Arabidopsis thaliana: one gene and its partners. The protein of the gene in region 2 purifies or fractionates together with the protein of the main gene of each other region. This does not show direct contact. Each region holds a gene or a part of one and is shown on either strand. Other genes may lie near its edges.

Region 1 (5,306 bases), on a different chromosome or scaffold from region 2:
AATTCTCAGGCAGCTTGAAGGTTACTTGAAGAAGTTTCTCCTCTTCTCCCTTCTGAATGAGAAGCCATTGTGCACCCTCAAACTTGCTCAATGGCTTTTCACGCAACCACTTAATCCCAGAAAACTGATGGAACGAATCAATTACTGTATTTCCATCTGCTGTTGGACTTGTTGAGACCACTGCATTCTCCATATAAATGCCACGGACATACTTTTTGACTGATGGCTCGCAACTTATCTCAACTGCAGCCTAACAAGGAAAAATGGGATATCTCCGCATTAGTGATTAGGGAAGTCCTTCTGATATTAAACCCAGCTAAGCAATTCAAAAAATAGTATTATTGCAGAGTATATACCATATGCCGTGCACCTTTCAGAACTGCCAGAGAATTTTCAAACATTGCGCACACAAAGTTTTTAGCCATCTCCTCTGGTGTTTCCTTTGCATCCTCAAGCTCATCAACCTGCAACTCATTTAGCGTCAGAACTGCCATTCCAGTACAACATGCAAATCAAACAATATAAAAGCATACCGACCAGTTTTTCTAGGGACAATGCAAGTCCCAGTTGCTCAGCACTATACCCAAATTTGTTTGCAACCTCCCAGAGCCCTGCTTTACTGCAGATGCTATATTGTGATTTCCTTTTCGGCCTCTTATACTGCCCTTCATCAACACCAATTTCACCGGGAGGAAAATGCAAGTTGAACTTGGAATCTACATCATCAACTTCTCTTTCTGTTTCTGCAACTTTAAGAGACTTAATGACTGATTCAAAAAGATACTGATTTAGATTAAGTCTTGTTTCATCATAGACCCTCCTAGACTCTTCTTCGTAACGTTTTGTATAGTAACCATGCAACGCCATTTTCCTTTTTCGAAGAAGGAGCCACTTCTTATCCAAGTCATGAATCATCCAGAAGACCTGCATTGGAAAATAGTATAGAATCCACCAAATTTCCTCTGACAATAAATGTTAACCTGAGCACTTGTTGTTTATCCAAGATAATTGCTTACCTTATGCCACTTGGTCTCAGGTTTCTTGCCTTGATTGGCGCCATCAAAATCACCAGTGTCCAACAAGCTCCGGCATTGCTCCTTTCGGTACATAGCTATAAACGGTATCTAGAAGAGACAGAAAACATTAGCAAGCTAATCAATGAATCAAAGAAAATCCAACGAGAGAATGAATCCAAAACCTCTAATTTCTGCACATGATGTAGCTCCAAAAATTTTGCGATGTCATCCTTATTAACCGAGAAACCCCGCCCATCAAAAGTTCCATCAGATTCTCTAAGTTGGGAAGCAAGTTGAGCATATATCCAATTGCTTTCTTCTTCAATGCTAATTTCATCTACAGGAGGGCTTCCGGTGCTTTCTTCAGATATCTGTCAAAGTTTACAAGATATCTTTACATCTATCCTTGAACACCAAAGAAAACATAGACCACAAGTATACATAGAGAAAACTAAAGAAGATAATGCACCTGCATTCTCTCAGGAATATCAAGCTGGCGGATTTCATCATCATTCCCTGTCATATATTTCTCAGAAAGAACAGTTGGTTCAAACTCATCTTCGAGCCTTCTTTCCATCCTTTGATTAGATGCCAAACCCTTTTTGCGAATTGTTAATAATTCGTCAACATCACCAAATATTTCATTAGCATCTCGCATAGCAGTAATATCTGATCCCTGCCTATATTTCTTTTTCTTCGAGTTGCCCCTGAAAAGTAAGTTGATTAGAATCAGAAAATGTACATGACATAAGTGATATGTTAGGGCACAAAAAAGACAGAAAAAAAATACCTCTTAGGAGGACCATGCTCATCATCTTCATCTACAATAAAATCTGCCATTTCATCCTCGCTCCCAACTACATCTTCTTCCACAACTAAGTCTTCCTCATCACCTACATCATCAGGTGGATCTAGTAGACACAAAATGTACATAGTCAACTATGTGCCAACAGTCAACATAATAGTATCAGAAGGCACAGAGAACCTACCATCAACATCAACATCATCAAACAGCCTGTCTTTGATCTTATCCTCAGCACTTCTCCTAGTTCCACCTCTACTATCAAACTCATCATCGGATGATTCTCCCTGGCCATTTCCCTGTTCCCTTTGAGCTTTCTTCAACCGCTTATACTGCCTCTGTCATGGTTCAAGAAAAAAGTCAAATGTATTAGTACTGCACATATATTTTTAGTGTATCTACAAAATCCTGATGTATTGTTATATACACAAATATGACTAACCTTTTTGAATTTGACGTTGTTATCTTGTAGAAGCAAATAATCATCTTCATCAAGACCTTCGTCCCTATTAAAATTATCATAAATGGAAGGTTAGTCAGAAAGAGAACAGACCTGCTATAGTTCGTCTAATGGTAACTTACATACTCATCACAAACAATGTATGAAAATCACAAATAAAGACTGCTGAGAATTAAGGGAACATTTCTTCAAAAGTATCATGCATGTCAACACTAACATTTAGTTTTTCATATGTTAGAAAAGGATAAAATCTAAGAGAATGAGTAAGGATATAAAATATTCACTTTTTCTTTCGTTTCTTCTTCTTTTTCTGCCTCTCCTCATCGCTATCTTTCCTTTCTTCGTCTTCTTCCTCTTCTTCCTCTTCGTCTTCATCATTCACTATGAACCCATCATTCTCATACTCATTCCCAACTACAAAACAGATATACGGATCCCACATCATGGAACAAAAATAGCCTGAATCTAAGTTAAAAAGCCTAGAAAGAAAAAGAAAAAAAAATACTCAAACCCAAGGTGAGAGAAATGTGTGCAGCTCAAAACTTGCAGAAACCATGAAGTCTAAAAAGGAACAAATCAAGCAACCGTATGAAACAGAGAATATAGAAACAAGAAGTGGTAGAAGGAGAGACTTTGCAGCAGATAAGTAAACATCTAAGAAACAAGATGCATTCACTTTTTTTTTTTTTTTGGTTGCCAAATCCAGACACTGCATCTTCTAATGGAGCAAATGCAGCAGAATTTCTCCAAATGAATCGATTTTAAGACAAAGAACTGCATGCGCTTCAGTACTAAACCAAACCATACCACTAATTTCCTTCGATGCAATCAGACTCTACAGCTTCCAGATTTAGGGTGGTAAGCAAAAAGAAACGAAAGACGACACATTTCTCACTGGGAGAAGTCAAAATCAAGGAAAAAACTTATACCGTCATCATCATCTTCTTCATCATCGTTTTCATCATGCTCAGCTGGATCTCCATGAACTGGCTCTCCGTCGTCATCCTCAAGCTCATGATCCTCTACGCAAAAGAGAAAAGGATTCAATTTTTTCATACAAATCAGAAGAAATAAACAAAACCCTAGTATTATTACGGCGTTTCACACAGAAAAAAATTAGGGTTTGCGACGAAGCGATTAAGGTACCTTCATCGTCAGAGATTGCGTTCCTCGCCATGTTTATCTCAACAAATTAGAAGTACGATAACGCAGAAATTAGCCCTGCAAACTGCAAAAAAAAACGAAGAGATTGTGATTATGATTTCTGATTTTGCGAAGAGAAAGGGGGAAGAAGGTTCTCGCGATTACTAGGGTTCTTCGAAAAGAGAACCCAGAAGGAGCTAGAGAAGAGAAATGGGTTTGGTAAAGGAAGAAGCTTTACCAGTGTGAATTTTTCATAAGCGAAAGGCGACGAAGAACTGATAAACGAAGAAGAAGACGGAGACGATGAAATTACAAGTTTATACTGACAGATTTGCCTCAATTTTTTCTCTGCGTTTTAGAAATATTTTTTTTTTAATAATGTTTTTAAAAATTATTATACTTTTTGAAGAAATGTAAAGAAAAAAAAGTCGAGACTAAAAACAAAACAAAGTTTATTCAACTTATCTTATAATTAGAGTGGAGAATATTTAATTCGATAATTCGAAATATAAGAAAATAGACATACATTAATAATTAATAAAAAAACGTTACATCGGCTAAAATGTTTAAACAATTATTTAAATTTATATGATAAATAAAATTAAAATAAATCTAAATCGGATTCAAATTTAAAAGTTTGTCTATAGATTAATTTAATTTTTAGTTAAACAATTTAATTTTATCAAAAATATAAAATTTTAAACTGTGAAAAAGTTTTAAATCTTATAATTGATATATTTAAAATTAAATAACAAGTTGATAATAATATAAACATTTGGACATATATAAAAATAAATATAACACTAGACAAATTATATTGTAGGACAAATTTTACACATGAGGCCCTAAAAACTTTTTATATTAGGTGGCCTAAAACAAATGTTTCGGCTTTTTTATGAACGGGCCGGGCTTGGATTCGGCCATATTTTGAGTTCATGCCTTTTAATATGGCAAGAAAAAGGTTAGAAACTAGACTAATTGTAGATTGTAAGTTTGTAACCGTAATGAGATACTGCAAATGGGTAAAAATCGTATTATTCCATAAACCACAAATGGAGAAGTCAAAGTTTGGCAAATATCACAACAAAAAGGTTGATATATCACATGCATATTATGTAGCTACACCGACATATCAAAGTTCTCCTATCAAATTTTAAAAAACATAAATCACCAACCCTACTCACACCCACCAATGCAGCCCATCATTCTTCCCAAATCTATAAACACAACACAATAATACAACAGTGACAATTTTAGCTTTTAAAGAATAACGTTTTCATGTGACTGGATAAAAACGACGTCTACGTAGCACGAAACTGCTTTGTTTGTTCTTGTAACGATCCGTACCATATCTTTTTTTATTAAAAAGTCACATTTATTATGGGATCAATAATTTACTCTCCATGGATTATTTCATACTATAATGTACACGTACATTATCATAAAGCCAAGATAAAATTAAAAACGCCTTTTACTACGTGTTAGTCTATATAATATAGATTAAGTCTGAAACCCAAATCACAAACTTCACTCAAAACCTAATTAACTTAGAGAGAAAGAGAGAGAGAGAAGGGTTGCAAAATGGGTTCTTCGTACCAAGAATCTCCACCGTTGCTTCTTGAAGATCTTAAGGTTACGATCAAAGAATCAACACTCATTTTCCCATCTGAAGAAACCAGCGAGAGAAAATCCATGTTCTTATCCAACGTCGACCAAATTCTCAACTTTGACGTTCAAACAGTTCATTTCTTCCGACCTAACAAGGAGTTTCCACCGGAGATGGTCTCGGAGAAGCTGAGAAAGGCGTTGGTGAAACTCATGGACGCTTATGAGTTCTTGGCCGGGAGACTCCGCGTGGATCCTAGCTCTGGACGGCTTGATGTTG
Region 2 (7,728 bases):
ATGCGCTTTTCCGGCTTACTCCTGTTTGTAGTGGAGAGATATTGGTGGATGGAAAAAACATAAGCCATCTTCCGATAAGAGAACTCCGTTCTTGCCTCGCTGTTGTTCCTCAGAGCCCTTTTCTGTTTCAAGGATCACTGAGGTGAGAACTTAACTCCTTCAATTCACTAACCAAAGGTGTTGCCTGCAGTTTCATAATGAAAAAAAGTTGTGGTTCTCGTAGGGATAACCTTGATCCTCTTGGGTTGAGTGAGGATTGGAGAATCTGGGAGATCCTAGACAAGTGTAAAGTTAAGGCAGCGGTAGAAAGTGTAGGAGGGTTAGATTCATATGTAAAGGAATCTGGTTGTTCCTTTTCTGTTGGACAGAGACAGCTTTTGTGCCTTGCTCGTGCTTTGCTCAAGTCATCTAAGATCCTATGCCTTGATGAATGCACCGCCAACATCGATGTTCACACAGCTTCCCTACTCCACAACACGATATCGAGTGAATGCAAAGGCGTAACCGTCATTACCATTGCTCACCGCATTTCTACGGTTGTTGATTTAGACAGCATCCTAATTCTTGATCGTGGAATTCTTGTTGAACAAGGAAAACCACAACATCTTTTGCAAGATGACTCCTCAACTTTTTCAAGCTTTGTCAGAGCTTCTCAGTGAAATGTTGTTAGAATCTGATCACTTGTAACTTCTGATCTCTGCTATAATTATCTTGTCATGGAAATTAAGAAAAACTAGTTTCAACTGTAGTAGCTCATTTATATGCTCAGTTTTCCATAATAAATGAGTCTTCATGGACTTGCCTAATCCAAATTCATAAATATCTATCTAATTCGATGGTGATTGAGAACTGAGAAGTAAACAATGGTACTCTTATTGTCTGTTTTTCTTCCAAGAAGTTAGTTCAGAAGGAATTGATTCTTCATTGCAACTTAAAACAGCTTTAGCCATGAGTTTCCCAAGCTATGCATGATAGAGTAAAGTAATTGGCCAAAAATATGTTAAATAGAGAAGCAATTATCTCTCAACAACACAAGAACAAAATGAAATTGAGAGATTCCGGGAGCTTCAGAACCAGTTCAAAATTCAACAACATACTAGTTTTGTAACCCGAACCAGTTTAAAAGAAGAACATTTTGAGTCAAGTTCAACCATGGTTATTTATTTCATTTTTTTTTCAAGGTAACAACATTCTACTAATAACAACATTAAGAAAATTTTAATTTACATATACGTTCAGATTACACTTTTACTTTATCAACTATTCTATCTGCATCTTTACTTTAACTATCGGCACTAGATTATACCATTCAGCAATCTTCAAACGCTTTCCTAACATTGGCGTGACATTTTAACTAAGGACAACAAAGGTGGAGAATACATTAGTTTGAAGCAAGCGTAAAAGTTTACTAAGAATCTTCATCAAATACACATGACATAAGCTTCTCTTTCTACTTTTTGCCTACAAATTAACTTGATAATATTAAATATTTTGTTTTGTTTGGTCATCGCTGCTACTAAAGAAGAGAGATTGCATGCCTAGACGATCAAGCTTTGCGGACAATAGAACGTCTCTCTCGCTGGTACTCAACTTCACCTCTCTGGTGCATTATCAACAAAGCTCTCCTCACCTGCCATTTTAACATGCACATTACCTCAAAAATCCCATTCACATTACTGAAAATTAAACAACAAAGATGTTAGCTTAGGTACCATTGAATCGTTCATTCCCATTCTAGCCAGATCCTCTATCAGTCTTCTCTCTGATAATCGAGCTCCGATCCCCATTCTTCTCTTTATCTGTGTTTCCGCTTGCTGTTTTTTCACACCAATACCAAATTTAGTTATTACATCTAGAGATACGATGATTCTTTCTTCCCCACAAGCAACTAACCTTGATTTCATTGGCCATCTCGCCTGTTATGTTTATCTGTTGATTTATCCCTGATCTTGCTGCATCCATTGTCGAGGTATCAAAAAGTTTAAAAGCTTTGTCTACATCATCTGGTGTGGCCTCGTGTGACCTGACATATTTAACAATGTCAATGGACGGCACATCCCATCAGGTTTCAGGAATCAGGAATCTCTATGTTAATAAGATTACTTACAGTCTCATTTTTGCAAGTGACTCACTCAGTCTGACAATAGCTTCGAGTTGTCTCACTGTGATAGGTATCGGAGCAGCCTCTCCTGTTTCATGTGCACGTCTCTTCATATCCTGTTTAGCCGAAAATTTTATACTGACACCAACTTTGTTTTTTAACCATCTTATTGTCAAATCTAATGTAAATGACAATTACCATTCTGATTGTGACATATTTCCGCTGCAGGTTCTCAGCAGCGTCTTTTGAGAGACGGGGATGACACCTTGCTCGACAGTATTGTATATACCTAACATAAAAAGAGCATTATATTTTAGAGTCATGATTTTGTACAGAAAACTGCGAGAACACATTGTTTTCTCGACGAATGAAAACACACCTTTTGAGCCAATTATCTTCTTTAGAATCTGTGTTTTCATCCGAAAATTTGTTTGCAGATGCATGAACCCTTATAATATGGCTGGCTATTTCCTGTGAAAAGATTATAAACATTAATCATGTCTACATAATAAGCAAGCAACGAAGCAAACTTTCCAATAACAGTGACCTCCATCATTAATCTCTGTTTTCCCTTTTAACTACATAAAATTTCTGAAAGAATTGTTCCTTTCCTTGCTTACCTTGTCTTGGGAATACTTCCTGATGTCCTTGACAATGAAGATAAGATCAAATCTAGAAAGAATTGTTGTCTGCAGATCGATATTGTCCTGAGCAGTCTGCAAATCCAAAGAAAAAAAAACACACCCATCTCTTAAGAATATTGCAAACAAGAATCGGGAAAACCATGATATTGCCAAAGGAGAGTACCAGATTTCAAACCTTAAGGTCATCATATCGACCAGATGGCGGGTTAGCAGCAGCAAGCACCGAGGTTCTAGAATTAAGGACAGTTGTTATCCCAGCTTTTGCAATGGAGATTGTCTGCTGCTCCATTGCCTCATGAATAGCAACCCTATAAAGAAAAAAAAAACATTCCATCAATTCTACTCATAGAGAAAAATTAGATTCGTCAACACTATGATTCAGATTTGAATTACCTATCTTCCGGTCTCATCTTGTCAAATTCATCAATACACACAACACCTCCATCAGCCAAAACCATAGCACCACCTTCAAGATAGAACTCTCGCTGCAATGAACATATGTATAAATAACTGAGAATCTGTCATAGCAACTACTTTTAAACAAATCATAGAAAAACACTTGAAGATAGGACATACAGTGCTGCTATCTCGAATCACCGAAGCTGTGAGCCCAGCAGCCGATGAACCCTTTCCAGATGTATAAACAGCAATTGGAGCCGTCTTCTCCACAAACTTAAGAAACTAGAGAGAAAAAAAATAAGCAATTAAGCTTTAAACATGTAAGCTACAGGTGTTGGAAATAACACAGACATTTTGTAAGGATTGTAATCTAACACTTGAACAGAAGGATGTAAGACGAATATCAAGCAAATAAGAGAGACGTAAGAAAATATAAAAAGAATAACACACTTATTATAAACCATTGATACTGAGACCACATTACAAACCTGTGATTTTGCAGTTGATGGGTCTCCCAAAAGCAAAACATTAATATCACCTCTTAGTTTCACTCCATCGGGCAGGCTCTGAATCAAAGATAGAAATGTATATAAATATATCAAAAACGTATACAAAGTGCACAGAAAATAAAAACTGCTATCACAGTTTCCTACCTTCCTGGATCCTCCAAAGAGAAGACACGCAGCTGCTCTCTTCACATCCTCATGGCCAAATATAGAAGGAGCGATCTTGGTGCAAATGTTCTTGTATACATCTTGACTATCAGCAAACTTTTTGAATTCTTCCTCCTAAAAGTAATATTATGGAAGACAAAACTGATAAATGGAATTGTACAACTAGGCTTCCAAGCAGGCCTAAATGTTTCATAGTAAACTAGTAGCACAGAGAATATTTCCAGAAAACACCATCACATTCATTTGGGAGTTACACAAAGAATTTCATAGAGCCAACAGCTACCTAAGGCATTTGGTTTCCAGTAACAATAATTCAGCCATGTTAACTTCAATAGTTCATTGTGAAACCATGGATGACATAGGCTATCAAATGAGAAAACAAAAAGAACCAAATGATGCGATACTAACTTCGTCAGGAGTGAAGTTGGCAGGGCCACGGGAACTGGCCTCATTTGTGTCTTCCAGTCCAACAACTCGGATATAAGGCTGGCGAATTGCAACTGCTCCTTTATGCCTACATCAGAAAGTAGGAAAAGATGTCCATCATTGTTGTGGTGTAACTCTCCCAGAAAACAATCTACACTCTCATTTGACATAAAACTACAAAGCTTACGAGTTAGATGATGACGAAGCTTGGAAAATGCTGTAGATACCCATTACTGTCAGTCTGGTTCCAGGTACAATTGTTTGTACAAGATGCCGATCAACTGAGAGAAGCATATTTCTTGGAAGCTCTCCAGTAGGAACATCCTTCAAAACTCAGAAGCATTTAATATATACAAGTGCAAAAAAAGCGAAAACATTACAATGTAAATCTATACCTCCGGATTCTCCTGTAGCTTTAAGGTCTGTTGATCAACATACTGGCTCCTATCAGGAACCACCATCCAAGGATCAAGAGGGCAAGGCTCCTCTCCAGGCTAAACAAATTCCAATTTGGTCTAATCAACACCAAGGATAACTACAAACTCAAATCACAAACGAATCAAAAGAACTCACCTGTGGAATATTATCACATGATCGAGGAACAATTGCCCCACCAAGACCCGGACGACATGGAACTTCCCTTGTCTTTTTACAATTCTTACATACCAAAAACACATAAGTCGCCTTTGCTTTCACTCTCGAAGCTGCAATACTAATCCCAGAGATTTTCACCAACTTTGAGATGTACTGTGCCTATCAAGAGTAAAGAGTACATTATAGACATACCCCAAGTAATCTCATTGATACTAAAAACAAAAAAACAGACATACCCCAAGTAATCTCATTGATACTGGATCCTCTCTTGAAGTGAGCAAAATCTGCACATCTCTAGTCAGAGGTTCCTCCATTACCCCTCCCTCATTAGCCTCCCTCATTTTCAATCCAGTCAACACTTCACCAGCTGCTTTCTCAAACTACAATTCAAAGATTGACTCACTCAATACAAAGCTTATATGAACCCTAATTTTTTTTGAAGTCATACCACAGGGAGATAATCGGCAGGAGCAGATCGGATTAAGGAGGGGAGATCGGAATCAAAGGAGAGGAGATCTTCGAGGTGGACAACAAGTCGCTTAGGGTTATCGAGGAGAGCTTCTCTGTAGGGGAAACAATTCTGTTCGATCTCGAAGTTTCGAATGAATTCCTTAAATTTGGTTAAGACGGCGTGGGGACTGATGGTTGCGGCGTCTCCGGCCTCCGGGAACTGCGGCTGGTCGCTGTAGTAAACTGCTCCTTCGTCCCATCCTGACATCGTTGCTTCGTCTCCGTTACGAATTTCTCTATCTCTTTCTCTCTTATCAAAAAGTTCTAAACGAAGAGAGAGAGTGGGGGCAAGGGCTTTATGTCGACTATGAGTTTTGGCGGGAACAATGTGGCGGGAAACTGATGGGCCGAACCCAAGACCTATGGACGGGTAAATGGATTTCGTTGGTTATTGGGTCTTTCTTTCTTTTTCTTTTTAGCTAAGGTTACATTTTTTATCCATTTTTTCTAATTTATTATAAAAAACCAAACAGATAAAAATATAATTATGGACTACATCTAGGAATCTTAAATTTATGAATTGCACATTTTAGAATTTCATATTTTTAAGCTACTTAATATCGTTGTAAGCATTTTCAATTCCATCGTAATTTTCTTCAATGTCACTTAAAATTTAAGGCTATATTAATATATATGTTTAAAAGAATAGTTTTTAGTTTTATAACATTAATAATTTGAAAATTAAGTAACTATAAAAAAGAAAAGAAAAATCAACCATATATATCCTTCTCATTTACGTTAATTACAGAAATGTCATTAACATGATAAATGTTTTTGAGAATATTAGGTAATTGGACACTTTTTTGAAACTCAATTACGCAATAAAGCACTTTAGAAAGAGTAAACACTTTTTAAAGTTTTTTTACTACTACACCATCAACCCAACCTAAGCAATCCAAACTTACCATAATTTACAACCATTACTTTTTCTCTCTTTTCATTCATTTTTTTCTCTACTCTTTACAAAATTAAACACACAAAACACTTAAAATATCTTAATGAAAAAAGGAAATGGTTTGAGACATTATCTCTCTTCTCTCTCATCAAAAACACCAAAAAGTAGATCTAGATTTTTCTTTTTTCTTTCTCTTCTTAGATCTTAAAAGTTGGAAATTTTCAAGATTTTTATTCAGTTTCTCATTCTTTAATCAACCTCATAAGGTTAAAATTTTCATTTTTAATTGCTAGGTTTCTTCTTCTCTTAGTGTATCCATCATTGTCTTGGTCAAATTTTTGTCTTTTTACAAATCTTAGATTTGGCCACCAAATATTTGTGGAAATTCCTCAAAGAGAGAGAGAGAGTTGAATTAAAGAACCCAAACATATATTCTTACTATAAATTTGTAACTTAAAGGTAGTTTGATGCTATTTTCATTAAAACACATGAGCAAATAATGAAAAAATGGAAAAAATACAAAACAAATCAAAGAAGAGTGATAGGCGATAATTTGAAATGACCACATGGTCAGAGTTTGGTGGATGTGTGTTGACGGTCGATAATTCAAAATGATTGTGTTTTGTTAATACTATTCATAAAACCAGTGTTACGTTATGTAAAAGATGTTGATAAAATGTGATGAAACAAGTTTTGTTGGTCATATCAACAAAAGTTTATTTATGAAAATGTTTATATTTATTTATCCACGATTACATATTAACAAAACATAAATACGAGTGTATATCGTAAGATTGTGTATGAACACATCGATCTCAATAATATTTTACGTTTTCAGGTTAAGAAGCGTGCTTTAGATTATCATGGATCAAAAGTGGTGGTTATAGATTATGTACATATAAAACTTAGGTTTTAGGGTTTAGGCTTTAAAGTCAAGGGCTAGGGTTTAATGTCTAGGGTTTAAGATTTAGTATCTAGTGTTTACATTTTAGGATTTAGGCTTTATTGTTTAGGATTTCGCGTTTAGTTTAGATGATTTAGGGTTTTGGGTTGAAGAATCAAAGTTGTCTACAATGATTTAGGGTTTATGGTTACATGTTTCTCATTGGAGATTATATATTCCATTGTTGTCCATATGGATTGGATAATATGGATTTTCTATCTCAATTTGTTTATATTTAGGGGATTTATGTTTAATATTTATGGACAACAACAAGAAGTTTTAAAGTGAAGATCTTAGAATTTAGGGTTTAGGGTTTAGGGTATACGTGATATGGTATATGTATATTGTTAAGGGTTTAGTCTTTATGGTTTAACAGGTTTAGGGTTTAATATCAAGGGTTTAGAGTTTAGGGTTTAGGGTTTAGGGTTTAGGGGTTTAGGGTTTAGGATTTAGGATTTAGGATTTAGGATTTAAGATTTAGGGTTTAGGGTTTCGGGTATAAATTTAGGGGTTAGGGTTTAATGTTTAGAGTTTAGTATCTA
Region 3 (8,121 bases), on a different chromosome or scaffold from region 2:
ATTCTCCATACACAGATAGAAATGAATACACAAGCACCACCTCACAACAGTGGGTTCGAGGAGGCCCCAGGAGGAGTACTTCAACCCCTTGGTTTACTCGGAAATGAAGACGGTGTAACAGGGAGTGAGTTGCCTCAGTATCAGAGTGGCATTCTGTCTCCATTGACTGACTTGGACTTTGACTATGGTGGTTTTGGTGATGATTTCTCATGGTTTGGAGCTTAGTGTCTTGCCATTTTTTTTGGGAGATTACATAGTAAGTTTTTTTTTTATTACACAACACCATCTCATATATTTGATCTTAGTTTATAGATTTGATGTATTTTGTTTTACTGTTATTTTTGTAGGTTCAAAAGGACATGGCAATAGTCTGGCTAGTACAGTTACTTTCTCTTCTTCATTTCTTCTGATCTTATATTCTTCCTCTTTTTTTCTTATAATATTTTCTTAGATTTGTTAAGAGAAACAATTTTCCTTTTGAATAAGTTGCCAGAAGAACTGCTTTGCCCGTTGTAATGGTCTCTAGGGAAAGCAGTTAGCGTATCATCATTTGTAAATTTACCTGTGAGTAATTCATCAAGTTAAGAGAATCATTATTTGTTTCTTTTGAACTTCCCAAGTTTTCATTTTTTTTTATATATTTTTGAGCTTGACTTTATTCTTTCCTAAGACTAAAAAGTATATGGGAGTTGACTGGCTGGGAAGGTCAAAGAGGAAGGAGACACGTTGTTAAATAAACTACTACAAGGCTCAAGGCCAGGTGAAACGGTCTTAAAATCTGAAATGCTGGTTTTAGAGTCTGTGGGTAGTGTTCCCAAAATGGCTGAGATCTTTGCAAAGATGGTTTCACATTACACTAGTTCTAACCCGAGAAGAGTGCAAATCAAATAAAGACAGACTAATCATACAGAAAACAAGACTTGATGATGAGAAAACTCAGGGCTTCCATAACTTCATAGTGCAATCTTCACTATAGGTAGCAAGGAGGTTTCTATGCGGGTGGTGTGTTATACCAATCACATCCTTCTCATGCACCTGTCATAAGCATAAACTATTCAGAAACCAGGTCTAATAAAAGACAACTAAGATAAGTATTAAGAGAGAGAGAGAGAGGATGATAATCTGAGCTCTAAAATGGAGAACAGATGAATCAAACATTATAACACACAAGGGACTTCATTACTCTAGTGAGTTACTGTTATGTGTTTGTCTCAAATGCAACTTTCAAATTTCCAACATCCAAAATCTTTTGGAGCATGTCTGTTACGGATATAAACTTACCATCATGAAATGCTCAAGTCCACCAGATTGATAGTTGAAGCAGTACAGTTTCCTGTAGGTGCAAACACCATTACGAACATCAAAGGCAGAAGATGAAACCCGAAAAGAAAGGAACCATAAGATTATCCTTTGAAATCAAACTCGTGGAACTTATCCAAAAATAAAACGATAGATATAGGAGGTTAGAGTGTTACTTGTCTTCGCCGATGCAGTATATCCAATCTCCTTTTGTAGATACACATGCTGCTACAAAATCTCCTCCTTCCCTATTACCGGATGAGAAACTCTTCACAACCTGCAAAAGGATTCCAATATAGAAGCATGTGAACAATCTTAGTTTTGGCATGACAATGACACTGATTTGCAGGAGACCGTTGCTGGAAATTTACCTGTCCTTGGAGTGTCATAATGTATATAGATGATGTCTTGTTGCACACAACAATGTGTTCTGTGTTTTTGGGGAACAAGTGAATAGAGTTGACTGATGCATCAGTTCCCTATATTTCAAAATTCAGACTTGGTAACCAAAGAGTTTGCCACAGAAGATCAGAAAAAGTATTACAAGATGTACATAAATCTGTATAAGAAAAGATACCCTTAACGGAGGTGGCGGCTTGAATGTTTGTAGACAATCTGTCGTCTTAGAATCCCAGACCTGTGCAAGGAAACAAGACTGTTATTACACGGCAGAAGGGGCAGAGAGTCCAAATGAGAAACAATGATACTGCTGACAGCCAAAGCCGAAGAATTTACCTTTACTGTACAATCACTGGAGGCAGTGATAATACGGCTTCCATCACTTGTAAAGATGGCATGATTTACATAAGATGTGTGACCACGAAATTCTTTCAACAATTTCCCAGATTTCAAACCATGGATTCTGCATAAAATAAAGCAAAATATATAATAAGAATTTGATATTATATTCGACTAGAAGCTCTACCAATAAACTTACATAACTACCAAATGAAAAGGAAAATATTAACAAAAACAAGAAGAAAAAAGATGCAATCAAAAGTTAAAAGAATATTCTACCATCAAAGAAATATAAAGCCTCAAGTTTTTGATAGGACGAGATTCATATCGCAAGTACAAAATAAAAAAATAAAGATATAACTAATAAAACCTTGCAGTTTGGTCAAAGGAGGTACTCAGTAATTGGCTTCCATCCCGAGAGAAGGAAAGACTTGTAACTCCTTGGGAATGTGCATCAAAACGACGTATGCATACACCAGTCCTTATACGCCAGATCTGCAAAAGTGACATGCATCTAAGTCTAGTTTTTCTATTTGTATTCAATCAGAATACATATGGGACCAATGAGAGGAAGAAGATATATCTACCAAACTGCCGCAATAGTCTATCTTCAGACAAAAAATTCAACTTTAAGGAAACATATGCAGCTGGAACTTACTTTAATCTTTCCATCTTGTGACCCAGATGCAAGCATCTCTGAATCTCTGCTAAAGTCTATGCAGAGGACAGGATCATCATGCATCATGAAAGATTCCTGTCAGAAATTAATCATAGTAAGTAAAGAGGATGGAATGGGAACTCTTTATCCAAAACTGATATTTTGTATACCAGGAAGTCTCAGACGAGATACTTGGTGCTTTAGGAGTTACATTGGAGAAAAAATTAAAATTCAAAGATAACAGTAATCCACCATATACTTGGTGCTTCAGGAATCTCATGGGCGACATTTTTGGAATAAAAAGCAAAAAGTAATCCACCATATCATTCTCACAGACTTGTCACACGTTCAATAATCAGATGCAGTAAGGATTATTTTCATTTGATTAAAATGTACTAACAGCTCATCTGACCCCGTACTGAGTTAGAATTAAAAAATGAAAAGAAGACATGAGAGCTTACATCAGCTTGATATTGCAAATCCTTCTTGAGCTTTCCACTTATGTAATCCCATACCTGTAATGCTTTTCAAGTCTGAGCAATCCTAGTCACAGAATTATTTTAAAGACTAATAACTTGTATTATCATACATACAGATTCCGGATCAACTCACCTCGATAAAACCATCCACAGAAGAAGATGCAAGAAACTGTCCATCTGGTGAGAATCTAGCGCATTCTGCATGACTCTTTTTACCAAACTGCACCAGCACCAGCACAAGGAAAAAGATATGAAAATTAGACAAGAACTCAACTGATGAGAAAACCCAAAATAATCATGAGCAACAGATCATAGACCACTAAGCTAAAGAAGCTATTAAAGTGTGAATATGAACCTTTATGGTATGAGTAAGAACATTAGGATGTGTGTCTTCTACATCTTGCTTCATAGCTGCCGTCCCACGAAAGAGGTCAAACTGTGTTCCTGGAGGGAGCAGGCCTGACACAAGTGTATGTAAATTTTAGGAAATGAGAGAGGGTACATATGTTGATTCCATTGATATATTAGTAATGTAGGCAAAAAAGTAAAAGAAAACGAGATGAAGTTTGACAGAACTGTTTGGTAGCATCCACAGTTCCTTAGATAATCACCTTGATGTTGTTGCCACTTTAAAGCCTGACCTATCAAAGCCATTAACCGTGAAGGTGGTACCACGGTAACCTCGGCAGCCACAGCTGATCGAGTAGGAGAACAAACAATTAGTGAACCTTGAGTACATACTGAGCAAGAGAAAACAAAAACTCTATAACCATTAAACAGGAAATAAGTTCTCGTCATAACTTCTTTTCATGTCATAATAATATTTAAGCATGCAATAGAGAGAGTATTCCAGAACATCACTTGGTTCCTTCAGGTAATTAATCATACAATAACTGAAGAAAATTGTTATTGTAGAAAATAAAGAAGAAATGGCCAACCTTGAGCAATCTGTGCCCGTTTTCTTTCTTTAGTTGAGTCTCCATAAGCCTTAGAAACAAAGGTAAAATTAGCAAACCATGATTATCACAAGGAAATGATTACATGAAAAACGCCACTCTTTGTGCATAACATGAACAATGACTAGGAGACAATACACCTCAAAAGACTAATCAGATAGAAAAGTCAAATCCATCAACATGTAAAAGAGCTAGTAACATGTAAAGATACTTTTGTACTCAGAAATACGAGCATGTGTTATACTTTGAGACCCTCATCTAGAAACAACTTCATGTTTAACCGCTCACTGGTTCTACTTAAGATTTTGAAAGATATCAAAAGTCGCAAGTAGAGTACAGAAAATGCAAGAGATAACAGATATAGCAACATTGTTTGAACTGTTGAACAGTTGCGGACAACCATGCTTAGGTGACACAGCAACAACAAAAGCAACACCCAACGTGATATTGAATAGTCGAGCATAATATAGTTTCCATACCTCATGCGGATCAAAATAGCTTCTGACTAGAAGATGCTCCATCCGCAAATATCTTTCTGCTTGCTCCTGCTTCATGACACCCATCACCTGAGTTTGTCTCAAAATAGCTCGGGCAGTGTCCAACTCTCGAAGTTCTATCATCTCCAATACAATCTGAAAAAATCACCCCGAAAATAAACAAAACTTACAATGACAATCACTATTTTTATACACTTCTACATTTCACAGAGTAAAAGAACAAACCTGTTCATAAAGGTCTTCAAGTTTATTCCTGGGAAGTTTAAGCTGGGAAACTTGAGGTAGTACCGAGTCCCATCTTCCACTATTAATATCAGAAATAAACGTCTCGACGCTGTCTACTGTATTCAAGGAAACCTGACACTCGCTTTGTAATGTCTGGAATGTCTGATTCAAGGAATTTTCTTTGCAGAACTGAAGCATAATCTTTATTACACTGAGACATTCAACACAATAGAGAGCTATTAGGGATGAAGATCTACACAAAGCTGACATATAGCATCAAAACGTTCTCCATCCAATATTACTAACAAAATGGCTAATAATACTGTCAATGGTTTCAATCCAAGCCGAGAATTAACAAGAGTTCAAATTTATACAAATTGGATTTTTCCTCGAGACGCATTGCAAAGAATCAAAACACTCTAACGATGATCTCCCTCAAATTTTCGTATACGACGTTAATTTAAACGAAGAATAGCTACGGAGGAATCTAGATATTCAGAAGCAATTAGCTTTAGAAGAACCAAGCTAAAACAAATTATGGGTAGATTTAAAAACCACAACTTTAGTATGGAGGATATAAAAAAACCAACATTCAAGATGTTTTCTCCAAACATGTAACCTAAGATCCATCTGAGCATTCGTAAACGATGGTTCTTGGAGCACAATTCATATCAGTGACACTAAACGAAAACTAGGGTTTGTAAGAGAAAGCGAAATCTTACTCTCGAGCTTCGATTTCGAGCGCCATACTCAGTCGTAGTGGGTTTTCGCCGGAGACGCTAAGAGGTAAAAATGCAGCAGAAAACACACGCGAAGGAGTTTCAATTTGGTTTTAATTCCAGGACAATGCCTCAAATATCAAATATTATGGGTCAAAATTAAACTTTCAGAAACTCCGAGTGTTATTTTGTAAATTTAAAATTGCAAAACATTGCTTACATACCATTTAGCTTTAGCTTCACACCCTTTTTTTTTACAACTTTTAGAGAAAGACAAAGACAACAATAAACACATTGACACTGTGGTCTTCAAGAGTTCTCCACTGGTTCGTTCCACTCCTCTGTTCTTCAACTCTAGAGCTCCATCATCATCTTCATTGCTCACTACTATTACTTTCTTGAGATCAATAACTGATATACTTTGACTGAAGCTGAGAGACTCTTTGTTCCGAATGGAAGGAATTTGCTGGCTACTCTGTTTCATATCTTCCATGTTGATATTCATCACCAGTAACTGACAAGATTCCAAATTGGAATCAATTCCAGAACATCTGGCTCTTTTCATGGGCTTTGATGCTATACAATTGAAAATAAGAGCAAGCAAGACAGGAGAAAGATGTTCAATCCAGAGACCAAAACCAACAGAAGACCAACCCGATGATGCAAATCAATCTATTGTTGTAAGGAGCGTATGCTAATTCCTCTACCAAAACCATAGCCAAAGGTGCTCGCTTTTATAGATTTGACCCTGTGGAACCTTTTTTTTTCTTTCTATAACAGTTTTAAGATACACATTTCTTTACCAGAGATCAATCTGAGGCTTAAGTATGCATATTTCCTTTGGCTTCTGTGAAACTGTACAGTCCATTTCCACTAAATCCTATATTCTACAATATTTCTTACATACATCTGTGGCTACACTTCAAAATGCCTCGTCTTCTTCAGAATTTTCCTCTTCATCGTCTTCTTCTTCTTCTCCAGATCTTGAACTACACTCCCTTTCAGCTTCAAAAGCAATGCTCATCTCTTTCTTCACCACATCAGCCAAGTCCTGTCTGTTTGCACTCACATAAGCATCTCTAACTGCTTTAAACAACGATTGGCTTGGTTCAAGCTCCCCAAACGTCAGCCGGCTATGTACCCTCTTCACACCTTCCACCATTCCCGCTTTCCCGTATATCCCAACAAGGTAGGCTTGCGTGACAATATCTGGTTCTAGACCTTTTTCCTGCATTCTCATGTATGCCTTTAGGGCCATGTCAATGTCTCCTGATGCACTATAAGTGTATATCACTGCGTTGTATGCAAAATGCTCGCGAGGAATTTCACCACTTGTGAGCTCTTGGCATGATTCCAGCGCATATGCATACAAACCCATGGCTGAGAACAGAGTTGCAGTGATTGCTGGTGTTGCCAGTGGTTTAGCTTCATTGTATGCGGTTTGTAGCTGCGACACAGCTTCACTTGGCACCCCACCTTTCTTCAAGAGCGTGAAGAGCGTTTTAAATGTTCCCCAATCCAGCAAGAGCTTTCTTTCAACTAACATCTCATGAAACAGTTCACAGCATTCACTTAACTGCCCATCAGCAGCGTAGCAAGCCATAACCTGATTAAATGAAGTGCAGTCACTTAGTAGACCAGACTCTCTCATTTCTTCAGCCACTTCAATAGCCTCGTCGAGCATGCCCATGCCCTTGTACAAGTACATCATTGTTGCAAACGAAATAACATCACATGTGCCTTTTTCTCTGAGAGCATTGAAAATGGATTCTGCTTCAGAAACTATGCCAAGATCTGCACACAGACTTAGCATGCTGTTTGATGCAGCAACATCTGGGCCACCTTCTGAATCCTTCATTTTGTCATACACTCTCCTAGCTTCTTCAAGACACCCCACTTTGCTATAAGCCTTGATAAGGGAAGTCAGAACGATATGATTGGACTGAACGCCATGTTCTTCCATCATTCTAAAGTATTGAATCGCTTCTTCGACCATTCCACTCTCAGCAAACCCATTAATTAAGGAACCATAAACAACTTCATTCGGTTTCACCCCTGTTTTTTCCATTGCCTCGTACAGGTCAACTGCATCAGACAACAGGCCAAGCCGCACATAGCTAGCTATCATAGCAGCATAGGTCTTGCATCCAGGTTTACAGCCCGAATCCAGCATTTCAGCCAAGATCCGCTGGGCTTCGTCCACTAAATCAACCCCAGCAAGCATCTGGAATAGGGAATTGTAAGTGCACTCATCAGGCCAAGTCCCTTGGTTCTTCATCCCTTTGAAGAGAGAAAGTGCTTTCTCATGAAGTTTGGCCTTACCATAAGCCTTGATCATGACATTGTACTCCAAAACATCATTCCTCTGGCCTGACATGTTTCTTTTCCCATAGAACACAGTCTCCGCTTCAACCCACAGTCCCTTTTCAGCATAGACATCAATAACTGCTGCAAGTGTCGTTGACGAAAGCACACAATCCAACTGGAACCTCTCAAACAGAGCTTTTGCCTGTACGACTAAACCTTCATTGACATACATCTGCATAATAA
Region 4 (8,368 bases), on a different chromosome or scaffold from region 2:
AATGGTGAAAATCCAGATCCTACCTTGTATCCAGATAAACCAACTCTGTTCAGACGCGAACGCCGGAAGCTACTCAGAGGAACACGCTTTCCATAGCCATTCTCACACACGAATAATAGCCATGGACCCGTGGATTGTTTCCTGCTTTTGTGATTGTGTTAACAAAAGAAGACAGTAAGACATAAGTAAGTTTCTAGAGCAAACATCAGCAGATATAAGTTAAGAAAAACATACACAAGTGAAGCATCTTCCGACTTCTCTTCCATATCTTTCCGCAGAGATGCAGGTATGATGTCCATGCTCGCTATCTTATCCTCATTCTTGAGTCTCATGGCAGTCACTCCCTTTGTATTTCTGCTCAGTGTGCGAACCTAAACAAACAAAAGCCATCAGAGTTTGCTCAAGTATTAAAAGGTTTACATGAAAGATGAATCATTTAGAAAAAATGAGAGCCACAACTTACACCATCACATGTACTCAAGGCGACCATTCCATTTTGGGATGCCATGGCTACAAGATCGTCGCTTGAGCAACAACGAACCCATTTCAGTTCATCACCAGAATTCTGAAGACAAATAATTTTGTTAGAGTAACCTTGTTAAGAAGACTTCCTATATGACTAAGAAGAAAAAGGGGACAAACCAACTGAATTGCTATGATTCCAGTTGAGCGTATTCCTGAAAATAATTTCAAAGATACTTTCTTGATGCAGCCATTCACTGTAAGCATCAGGAGGTAGCGATCTTCAGCAAACTCGCTAACAGGAACAATGGAGGTTACTCTTTCACCTTCCGACATGGATAATATCTGCTTCCACAAGTCACATGAACACAGCAAAACATTAGCCTTTCATAAAATTGAATAATTTTTGACATAGCAGAAGGAAAACATAGATACACAGATATGTAATTACCTGAACCAAAGGTGTACCAGCTGCATTGCGAGAGCATTCTGGAATTTTATATGCACGGGTTGAGTAAACTATACCCCGGTCACTGAATGTACAACAAGTATAAGCAATGAATTACAACAAGGCAGAAAATTAATATCCATGTGCGTAGCAAACACAAAGGAAATTTTGAGGTATACATACCTGAAAAAGAGGACATGGTCATGTGCATGACAAACAAGAAAGTCAGACATTGCATCATCAACTCTTAGTTTCCCAACAGATTTGCCAATTGTTCCACGATGCTGAAGATTGAATGTATCGGCCTTCATTCTCTTCACATAGCCCTTTTCGCTGACTGCCTATAGTCATCCATATCAAAAGTTACAAAACAAACAACAAAAATTTCAACGTTGAGAAACTTTCTAGGTTTAAGTATGCAACATACCATCAGCATCTCTTCATTTGGAATAACATCTATATCTTCTAGATCACCACTGTCAGAATCCTCCAACATTGAACGCCTGGGACTTGAGAATCTGTCCTTCAGCTCTATTGCTTCTTGTTCGATTAACTAAAGAAAAATACAAGAAAAACAACGAAGAGAATAAAGTAGTAAGTAATATACAATGAAGTAAACGAAGCAAATAGTTCAATTTTGGTCTACAAGAAAATCATCATGTATCAGTTATCTTCCTAACATTGGCCCAGAACAGCAACATATAGTAAGCAGCTTTACAGATATAAAAATAAGTACCAAACAAGAAATGGAAGAAGCATTTGAATCCTTATACCACATCATAATGCATGGACTAGATTTTGAACCTCAGTGGACTCAAACAGTCAAGCTTACAAATTTGGAGTACATATATTGATGCATCTATCATTCTACTAGCATCTAGGTGTTCTAAATTTCTAATATCAATAGCCAAAAGAACAGATAACTAAAAAGTGAGTGTGTCACCTTTAGGATGTTTGTTCGGGTTGATAATAGCTGCTCCAACTTTGTAATTTGCTCTGTTAGTGAACTACTTTCATCAGTAAACTTTTTCCGCTGCATTTATGAAGGGAGAATCTAGTTAGAACATTGTCAAGCCTACAAGTTTCATAAATTGAACTTAGCGAGAATAAGAAAGCACCTCAAGAGCAGTTAGCCTTCGAAGAGTTATCTCCAGTATAGCCTCAGCTTGTTTCTCAGAAAGACCATATTCTACATAAGTAAATGTTTGACAAGTGTTAATTTTAATATATGGTATCGTCCCTTACAATAGAGACTTACAAAGCATAAATCCCTAAGAAATCTTTGCAATTAAGATCAAATCTTACAACGAATGAGACTCCAGCAGTTCCAGATAAAAAGACAAGAAATATATAATGTTCAAATGTAATATGGAAGAGTTCACCACAAGATGTATTCTTTTAATAGTGTACATCCTAGACTACATCTATCAGTCCACCTAAGAAAAATTGGCTCTAGTCTACTTTTTGACTCCTAATTCTCGCTCACTTTTCCGAATTCTGTTTATACATCAACCTATAATGTGCAGTTCAAGATTGTTACATTGATTATATTGTCAAAGTAAAATATAGCTCACCACTTTGTAAAGCAGCAGTAGCAGAGGAATGACTTGAGGCCTTCGTGATGAGTTCGATTACTTCGTCCACATTGTCAAGCCCAACCACAATACCCTAAGCATATATACAGTGAAGATATTAGAAAAAATGCTTTACATCATTACATCATGGTCTTCACGAGCAGATTTAAGAAAGTTAAATATTTCTAGTCGCACCTCAATAATATGCTTTCGTTGTTGTGCATGTGAAAGCTTGAATCTTGCACGCCTTTCGACGACAGAACACCTGAAATCTATAAATGCCTACACACAAGCAAGAAACAGAAAGTAATCAACAAATTTACTTTAAAATGTGATTACAGTAGCACAGAAGTAAATATCCTATCTCTGATCTTCACTTTTCTATTACTCCTTGTGGGCTACGTAGATAAATGATTTACATAGACAAGTGGTCACCTGAAGTAGTTCTTTTAATCCCATTAGCTTGGGTTCTCCATCGCAGATACTGTAAAACACAGAATACCATAATCCAGTTACGATAAAGAAAAACGCATATGTGAATACATGATCCTTAATATATTTACAAGCATAACATACTCATTAGAGAATTTTCAACTAGTCATCCTGGAAAATGCCCAAGTTCTTTTATATGCCCACTCTTCAAAAAAGTACAGGAAATAAGAAGTTATCGGTTGATGCAACTCACCCCACCATGTTGCAGCTGAAGCTTGATTGAAGGGCAGTATGCCGGTAAAGATTATTAAGCACAAGTGCAGGATCCCCTCCTCTTTTGAGCTATAGAGAAGTATTGGAAATTATCTTAATTACCTTCCAATATGAAATTTTAAAGCAGACTAATACATCTAAGTGCAGAGGAAACAGTGTAATACCTCAATAACCACACGCATCCCATTACGATCACTCTCGTCACGTATGTCACTTATGCCCTCTAGCGTCTGAAAACAAACACCAACATCAATGAATAAAGAAGAAACTTTGCAAGCATATAAGGACATACTAGAAATGTAACACACCTCTGAGTAAAATAAGTACATATTGCTAAGTGAAGCAAAATAAACATTAGATGTCGCAAGTTTAGTTGTACCTTATTTTCAACAAGTTCGGCAATCTTCTGGACAAGTGTAGCTTTGTTTGTCTGGTAAGGAATCTGCAATAAAGTCACACTAAAGGCATTACTCTACTGCTAATAAACATTTTTGAAACCCTCATCCATGGAGATCTGAACATTAATCTAAAAAACTAAATTGATCACCTCTGTGATAATAACTGCATTCCGCTTTGTCTTTGGATCCAACAATTCAACTTCAGCTTTTCCTCTAACTACAACTCGCCCTCGGCCAGTTCGGTAAGCATCCAAAACCCTTGAAAGCGCAAACACACATTAGAAAATTATAAGAATCCAACATTGTAAAAGGAAATGGCATATGAATGCAAACTATTTTTTTAATAAAGGTATTCAACAAACTCGAGAGTAAATGTACTACACAACATATAAGCTTTCAGAATATTAAAAAATCACTCACACCATCAGAAAAAAACATGATGATTCAAAAACTGCATATGACAGACAAATAAAGGAAAACTATTAACTGGACCATCCTCTTCACTCATTTTCTAGGTTCCTTTTAAGATATAGGTACAGCTTCTGTAATCTGTTAGAATCATAGATCAAAACAAAACAAAATGCTTTTCTATTTCCATAAAAAAAAAGTTTCACACTTTAGAAGTGAGTCTTTCTATTTGATCCTATAGATAGCCTACTCTCAAAAAATTAGCAAACGAGGTGGGCAAACAAAAGTCATTAATGTATAAGATCCCTTTGGGGAGAAATTGGAAAGCAAAGAGTTACCCAAGGTTTCCCATTATTATTCCTCCAGTTGGAAAATCCGGTGCAGGCATGTATTCCAGCAGTTCTTGCAGCTGCCCAGACGAAGAAGAAAGTGGAAACAAAATCTTATGAGTTGTCTACTTATAAAACAGAGGATTTTTCATGTAAAACAAAAGACCCACAAATTGATAAATCACAGAAAAACAAAGGGGAGATGAGTGATACCGTTGCTTCTGGATTATGGATTAAAGCGCAAAGCACGTCTACCAACTCCCCAAGATTATGAGGGGGAATATTTGTTGCCATGCCAACCTAAACAATGTGAAATGATCAAGATTCAACTGCATATTCAATCTCATACAGCAGGGAAAATCTGCACAAGATTAACTGAAGAAATCTCGAACAAAATCTATTAAGGAGTTCAGATTTAAGATTTGTTTGATTATTTTACCGCAATCCCAGAAGCTCCATTCAACAACAAAGCAGGAAGACGAGCAGGCAACACTGCTGGTTCTTTTTGTGAGTTATCAAAATTGGCCACAAAATCCACCTGCCAAAACAAAAGAGGTTAAGGACCATCTAGTTGAGTATCGGTAAACTTGGCAACAAATTAATAGTGAGGTTACCGTATCTTGATCCAGATCAGACAATAGTACTGCCTCTGCCAGTGGCTGCAGAAAAAAAATAAGTACAATCAGCTGAAAACACTGACAAAAATACATGTTCATCTCAAGACAAGAGAAAAAGTAGAGATGAGAGATACACTATAGATAGCAAAGACAAGTGAAACAACTAGAAAAAGTGAATTGCAGGGAAAACCATTTCAACTAGAAGGGAAAGTAAGGTAAAAGGCACTCACATCGAGTCTGCATTCAGTGTAACGCATAGCAGCAGGAGGATCTGCATCTATTGAGCCAAAATTTCCATGGCCTTGGATAAGTGGACATCTCAAGGAGAAACTCTGCCAAAAAAACAAAGGTATTAAAACAAAAAAGTCAGAAGTTTGGGAAGAATCGAATCGTGCCTGAAACATTATTTGAGGACTGGACTACATTCCATGAATTCAGATATTTACCTGAGCCATCCTAACAAGAGAATCATAAACAGCAGTATCTCCATGCGGATGGAATTTACCAAGAACCTGAAAACCCAAAGAATTCAACAGCACAAATCGTTCTTCAGAATAAGATATTTAGAGAAATCGACTGAGAAAACACTTTCCAAAAATCAATAATATACCTCTCCAACAACTCTTGCACATTTCTTGTATGGTTTTTTAGATGACATCCCCAACTCATGCATTGCAAAGCTGGAAGACAAAATAATCGAACATTAGAAGGAACAATACCACTGACTAAGCTTAAAAATATCAGTAGCTTTGAGCCGAACGAAAGTCACTCAACAGAATTCTCCGATGTACTGGTTTTAGTCCGTCTCTAACATCAGGCAAAGCACGTCCAAGCAAAACAGAGAGCGCATACGACATATACGACTCAGTAGCTTCCTTATGTAGCTCAAAAGGCACAATACGAGATTCGTCCCCAGAAACAACCAAACCGCCATTGTTAGCTCCGGACTCTTCCTTGACCTGCTCATCTCCGCGCTTACCAGCACCGACAACGAATTTGCCGGACCGAGGAGTACGGGAGGAGAAGAAACGCGTGGCGGAGGGTTCAGTGCGGCGGAGACGGCATAATGGGTCGGTGAGGGGGAATCGGAAGAAGGAGCGGCGAAGAAGGGAGGAAGAGAGACGGAGAGTGGAGGAGAGAGACATGAGAGAGTTAGGGTTAGGGATTGAAGCAGTGGAATGGCATAATACTGGAGTCATGCCCAGAGGGTTTTAGGGATTTTTACAAGTACAAATGGATTAAAGTGCTAAAACCCTAGAGAGCCACACCGGAGAATTTCTCAGGCGCGAATTTCAATACTTTGGCGGGGGTCTTTGTGTCCAAACAAAAAACTAATCTGTATCTCTATTTGAGATATACACTATTTTATACAAACAAGATTATAATAACTAACTTTCGATTTCAATTTCTAATTTCATACTTGTATAGTGTCTTTGTTAGATCAATTACAGAACTAAATTCACCAATTGTTGAAAATTTAACAAATTTATGGAGAAATGTTAGTCACATTTTTGAAGTTTGCGATTCTTCTATCGACTCGAAAACGGTAGAGAATGATTTACATTATGTATTTGTAGCAAAAAAAATGTATCAAGCAATGATGAAACTCCGACCAAAGAGACCAGAGAATTTCTCAGACAGGATCAAAAAGAGATAAACAAGCAAAGAATCAATAAGCGTGAGAGATATAAGGGACAAAAAAATCGAGTTTAAGTGGGGAAGAAACCAAAAACTCCAGGATTGATCAGAGAAGAACACGAGCAGCGTCACCTGCTTCACAGATGAGAACAGGTTTTCCTCCATTTAGATTGTTAGCAAACTCGGGTTGGGCCTTTTCATATTCATCCTTCACATATGAAGCAGCTGCCTCAGCTTTTTCTGCATCTACAAAGGCTAGACAACATCCCCTGAAACCTGCACCGCTGAATCTAGCTCCATATACACCAGGAGCCTTCAGAAGAATCTTGTATAGCTGGATCAGTGGCTCCGCACCTTCACAAAACTCACAGAATTTAAAACCAAAATAATGAATCTAAGAGAGAATAATGTCTGTAAGCATACTAGTGGTCTGTATTCACTATAGGATATGTTGCATTTGGGAGAGAAGAAAAGAGAGTGTAATGTACCGCATTCGTAATTCTCAATGGAACTCAAGCCGGATGCTGAAATTAGCTTTCCAAATTCTTCAAGATTCCCTGAAGCCCAGGCTTCCCGTCCTGAAATTTAAGAACAAACATTCATAAAAGTCCGTTAAGCATCATAAAGAGCTTAATGAATCATTCATGCACATAAAGAGACATCTACAAGAATTCAAGAACATTTGCCTTTGATAACTCGCATGTTCTCCGAGAAATAATGCTCTGCTCTTTTAGCTAAAACCGGTTTCAGCTCATGCTGCACGAACAAGTATTATTGTATTACATATTTACATAGGCCTGATATAGGTGGAACCTGTTTTACCAAAAGCTTAAGAATCTTATTTTCTTACCTTGTGAGCTTCATAGACCGCATGCTCAACTATTCAGTGGGACAGTTAGAGACATGGCAACAAAGAAAAACTAATCAGCATGCAACGAATAAGTTAAAGTCCACACTTAAAGTTTTTTTACCATTGCACAACGTAGGTTCCAGCTCACTGTTCCCAGATGCACTGAAAAGAAAAAGTAAATCAAGAGAAGGGTGTGAATCTTGTGATGCAGAAAAATGAGTATCACAAGCAATAGAGAAATAAACTTTGCAGCATTTCCACTGAAATTTAAATCTAAATAAGCGAAAATGTAGATAAATATGAATCAAACAGATTTGCACATACGTCAAAAGAACTTTTGCTGCCTCTTGACACTCAGAAACTCGCAGATTATATCCTGGGTTGGTGGTCAACGCCTGCCTCAAGCCTGAGAATGCTAACAATATCCTGAACGGTTTCTCCAGTTCAGGAGCCTGTACAAGCTCGTGGTCCAAAGTCTGCATATTTCAAACAGTTTTTCTGAGATGGCAGTTTCTGGAAGAAAATAAAGTTTCCCTATCTATGGCTGGTTAGGAAGGATTTCTTCAAGGCCTCCTGATTCTAACCATTCATTTTCATTTTAGGAAGAAGTGAACTCAGCATTGAAATACATTAAAATCGAAGCAATTGAAAAGATTAAACACTTATTTTCTCGTGAAAGCAATGAGAATGTTGTAGATCTGATTTGATCGTGAGTCATTTTCAGTTTAGAGATCAAAAACATCTTAGGCATCCCATTGAACAGTCTTGGTTTTGCCACATGAACAAGCTTCTTGCTTTTTTGCACACTATATCACTTACAAATCAAGGAATTTTACCTTGCAGTCCATGTATGTTAGACACCCATAATTCGAAAGCAAAATAGCTGATTGATCCAAAATTCCATTCCGCAGACCCAGATACCCATTCTCAATAAGCCTG

Evidence for each region.
Region 1: the proteins of MCM5 (region 2) and GTB1 fractionate together in Arabidopsis thaliana (co-fractionation; one large-scale study listed by BioGRID). This does not show direct contact.
Region 3: the proteins of MCM5 (region 2) and SMU1 fractionate together in Arabidopsis thaliana (co-fractionation; one large-scale study listed by BioGRID). This does not show direct contact.
Region 4: the proteins of MCM5 (region 2) and GYRA fractionate together in Arabidopsis thaliana (co-fractionation; one large-scale study listed by BioGRID). This does not show direct contact.

What each region holds. Positions count from the first base shown.
Region 1 is NC_003070.9:24,310,873-24,316,178, forward strand, and holds the start of GTB1 (global transcription factor group B1), read right to left. Parts: upstream 3,768-5,306; 5' UTR 3,660-3,767; exon of another isoform or gene 3,587-3,659; intron 3,507-3,586; 5' UTR 3,456-3,506; coding exon 3,425-3,455; intron 3,301-3,424; coding exon 3,208-3,300; intron 2,997-3,207; coding exon of another isoform or gene 2,955-2,996; intron 2,693-2,954; coding exon 2,563-2,692; intron 2,325-2,562; coding exon 2,261-2,324; intron 2,157-2,260; coding exon 2,006-2,156; intron 1,928-2,005; coding exon 1,807-1,927; intron 1,724-1,806; coding exon 1,486-1,723; intron 1,388-1,485; coding exon 1,199-1,387; intron 1,125-1,198; coding exon 1,017-1,124; intron 925-1,016; coding exon 538-924; intron 465-537; coding exon 357-464; intron 251-356; coding exon 1-250. Other genes in the region: GLC (HXXXD-type acyl-transferase family protein), read left to right, coding at 5,003-5,306. UniProt on the Arabidopsis thaliana protein: Transcription elongation factor that enhances the transcription elongation by RNA polymerase II (RNAPII).
Region 2 is NC_003071.7:3,521,833-3,529,560, forward strand, and holds MCM5 (Minichromosome maintenance (MCM2/3/5) family protein), read right to left. Parts: upstream 5,669-7,728; 5' UTR 5,557-5,668; coding exon 5,287-5,556; intron 5,219-5,286; coding exon 5,075-5,218; intron 4,998-5,074; coding exon 4,818-4,997; intron 4,739-4,817; coding exon 4,640-4,738; intron 4,569-4,639; coding exon 4,432-4,568; intron 4,333-4,431; coding exon 4,227-4,332; intron 3,933-4,226; coding exon 3,798-3,932; intron 3,711-3,797; coding exon 3,633-3,710; intron 3,427-3,632; coding exon 3,322-3,426; intron 3,231-3,321; coding exon 3,139-3,230; intron 3,054-3,138; coding exon 2,921-3,053; intron 2,818-2,920; coding exon 2,722-2,817; intron 2,573-2,721; coding exon 2,481-2,572; intron 2,391-2,480; coding exon 2,300-2,390; intron 2,218-2,299; coding exon 2,108-2,217; intron 2,024-2,107; coding exon 1,894-2,023; intron 1,815-1,893; coding exon 1,713-1,814; intron 1,631-1,712; coding exon 1,547-1,630; 3' UTR 1,152-1,546; downstream 1-1,151. Other genes in the region: ABCC13 (multidrug resistance-associated protein 11), read left to right, coding at 1-142, 224-659. UniProt on the Arabidopsis thaliana protein: Probable component of the MCM2-7 complex (MCM complex) that may function as a DNA helicase and which is essential to undergo a single round of replication initiation and elongation per cell cycle in eukaryotic cells.
Region 3 is NC_003070.9:27,722,538-27,730,658, reverse strand, and holds SMU1 (transducin family protein / WD-40 repeat family protein), read right to left. Parts: upstream 5,669-8,121; 5' UTR 5,601-5,668; coding exon 5,575-5,600; intron 5,064-5,574; coding exon 4,853-5,063; intron 4,763-4,852; coding exon 4,610-4,762; intron 4,162-4,609; coding exon 4,113-4,161; intron 3,870-4,112; coding exon 3,786-3,869; intron 3,634-3,785; coding exon 3,530-3,633; intron 3,395-3,529; coding exon 3,308-3,394; intron 3,211-3,307; coding exon 3,157-3,210; intron 2,792-3,156; coding exon 2,696-2,791; intron 2,533-2,695; coding exon 2,408-2,532; intron 2,162-2,407; coding exon 2,035-2,161; intron 1,937-2,034; coding exon 1,877-1,936; intron 1,779-1,876; coding exon 1,671-1,778; intron 1,577-1,670; coding exon 1,476-1,576; intron 1,334-1,475; coding exon 1,282-1,333; intron 1,036-1,281; coding exon 937-1,035; 3' UTR 628-936; downstream 1-627. Other genes in the region: EIL3 (ETHYLENE-INSENSITIVE3-like 3), read left to right, coding at 1-225; AT1G73710 (Pentatricopeptide repeat (PPR) superfamily protein), read right to left, coding at 6,494-8,121. UniProt on the Arabidopsis thaliana protein: Auxiliary spliceosomal protein involved in splicing of specific pre-mRNAs that affect multiple aspects of development. Required for proper accumulation of SMU2.
Region 4 is NC_003074.8:3,340,104-3,348,471, forward strand, and holds the start of GYRA (DNA GYRASE A), read right to left. Parts: upstream 6,258-8,368; 5' UTR 6,141-6,257; coding exon 5,716-6,140; intron 5,622-5,715; coding exon 5,552-5,621; intron 5,454-5,551; coding exon 5,388-5,453; intron 5,274-5,387; coding exon 5,172-5,273; intron 4,984-5,171; coding exon 4,939-4,983; intron 4,863-4,938; coding exon 4,764-4,862; intron 4,625-4,763; coding exon 4,538-4,624; intron 4,405-4,537; coding exon 4,334-4,404; intron 3,846-4,333; coding exon 3,737-3,845; intron 3,632-3,736; coding exon 3,569-3,631; intron 3,420-3,568; coding exon 3,354-3,419; intron 3,259-3,353; coding exon 3,170-3,258; intron 2,969-3,169; coding exon 2,920-2,968; intron 2,767-2,919; coding exon 2,680-2,766; intron 2,579-2,679; coding exon 2,485-2,578; intron 2,100-2,484; coding exon 2,029-2,099; intron 1,944-2,028; coding exon 1,854-1,943; intron 1,464-1,853; coding exon 1,338-1,463; intron 1,252-1,337; coding exon 1,094-1,251; intron 996-1,093; and 10 more. Other genes in the region: GalAK (galacturonic acid kinase), read right to left, coding at 6,686-6,933, 7,068-7,157, 7,266-7,335, 7,430-7,458, 7,551-7,591, 7,754-7,905, 8,266-8,365. UniProt on the Arabidopsis thaliana protein: A type II topoisomerase that negatively supercoils closed circular double-stranded DNA in an ATP-dependent manner.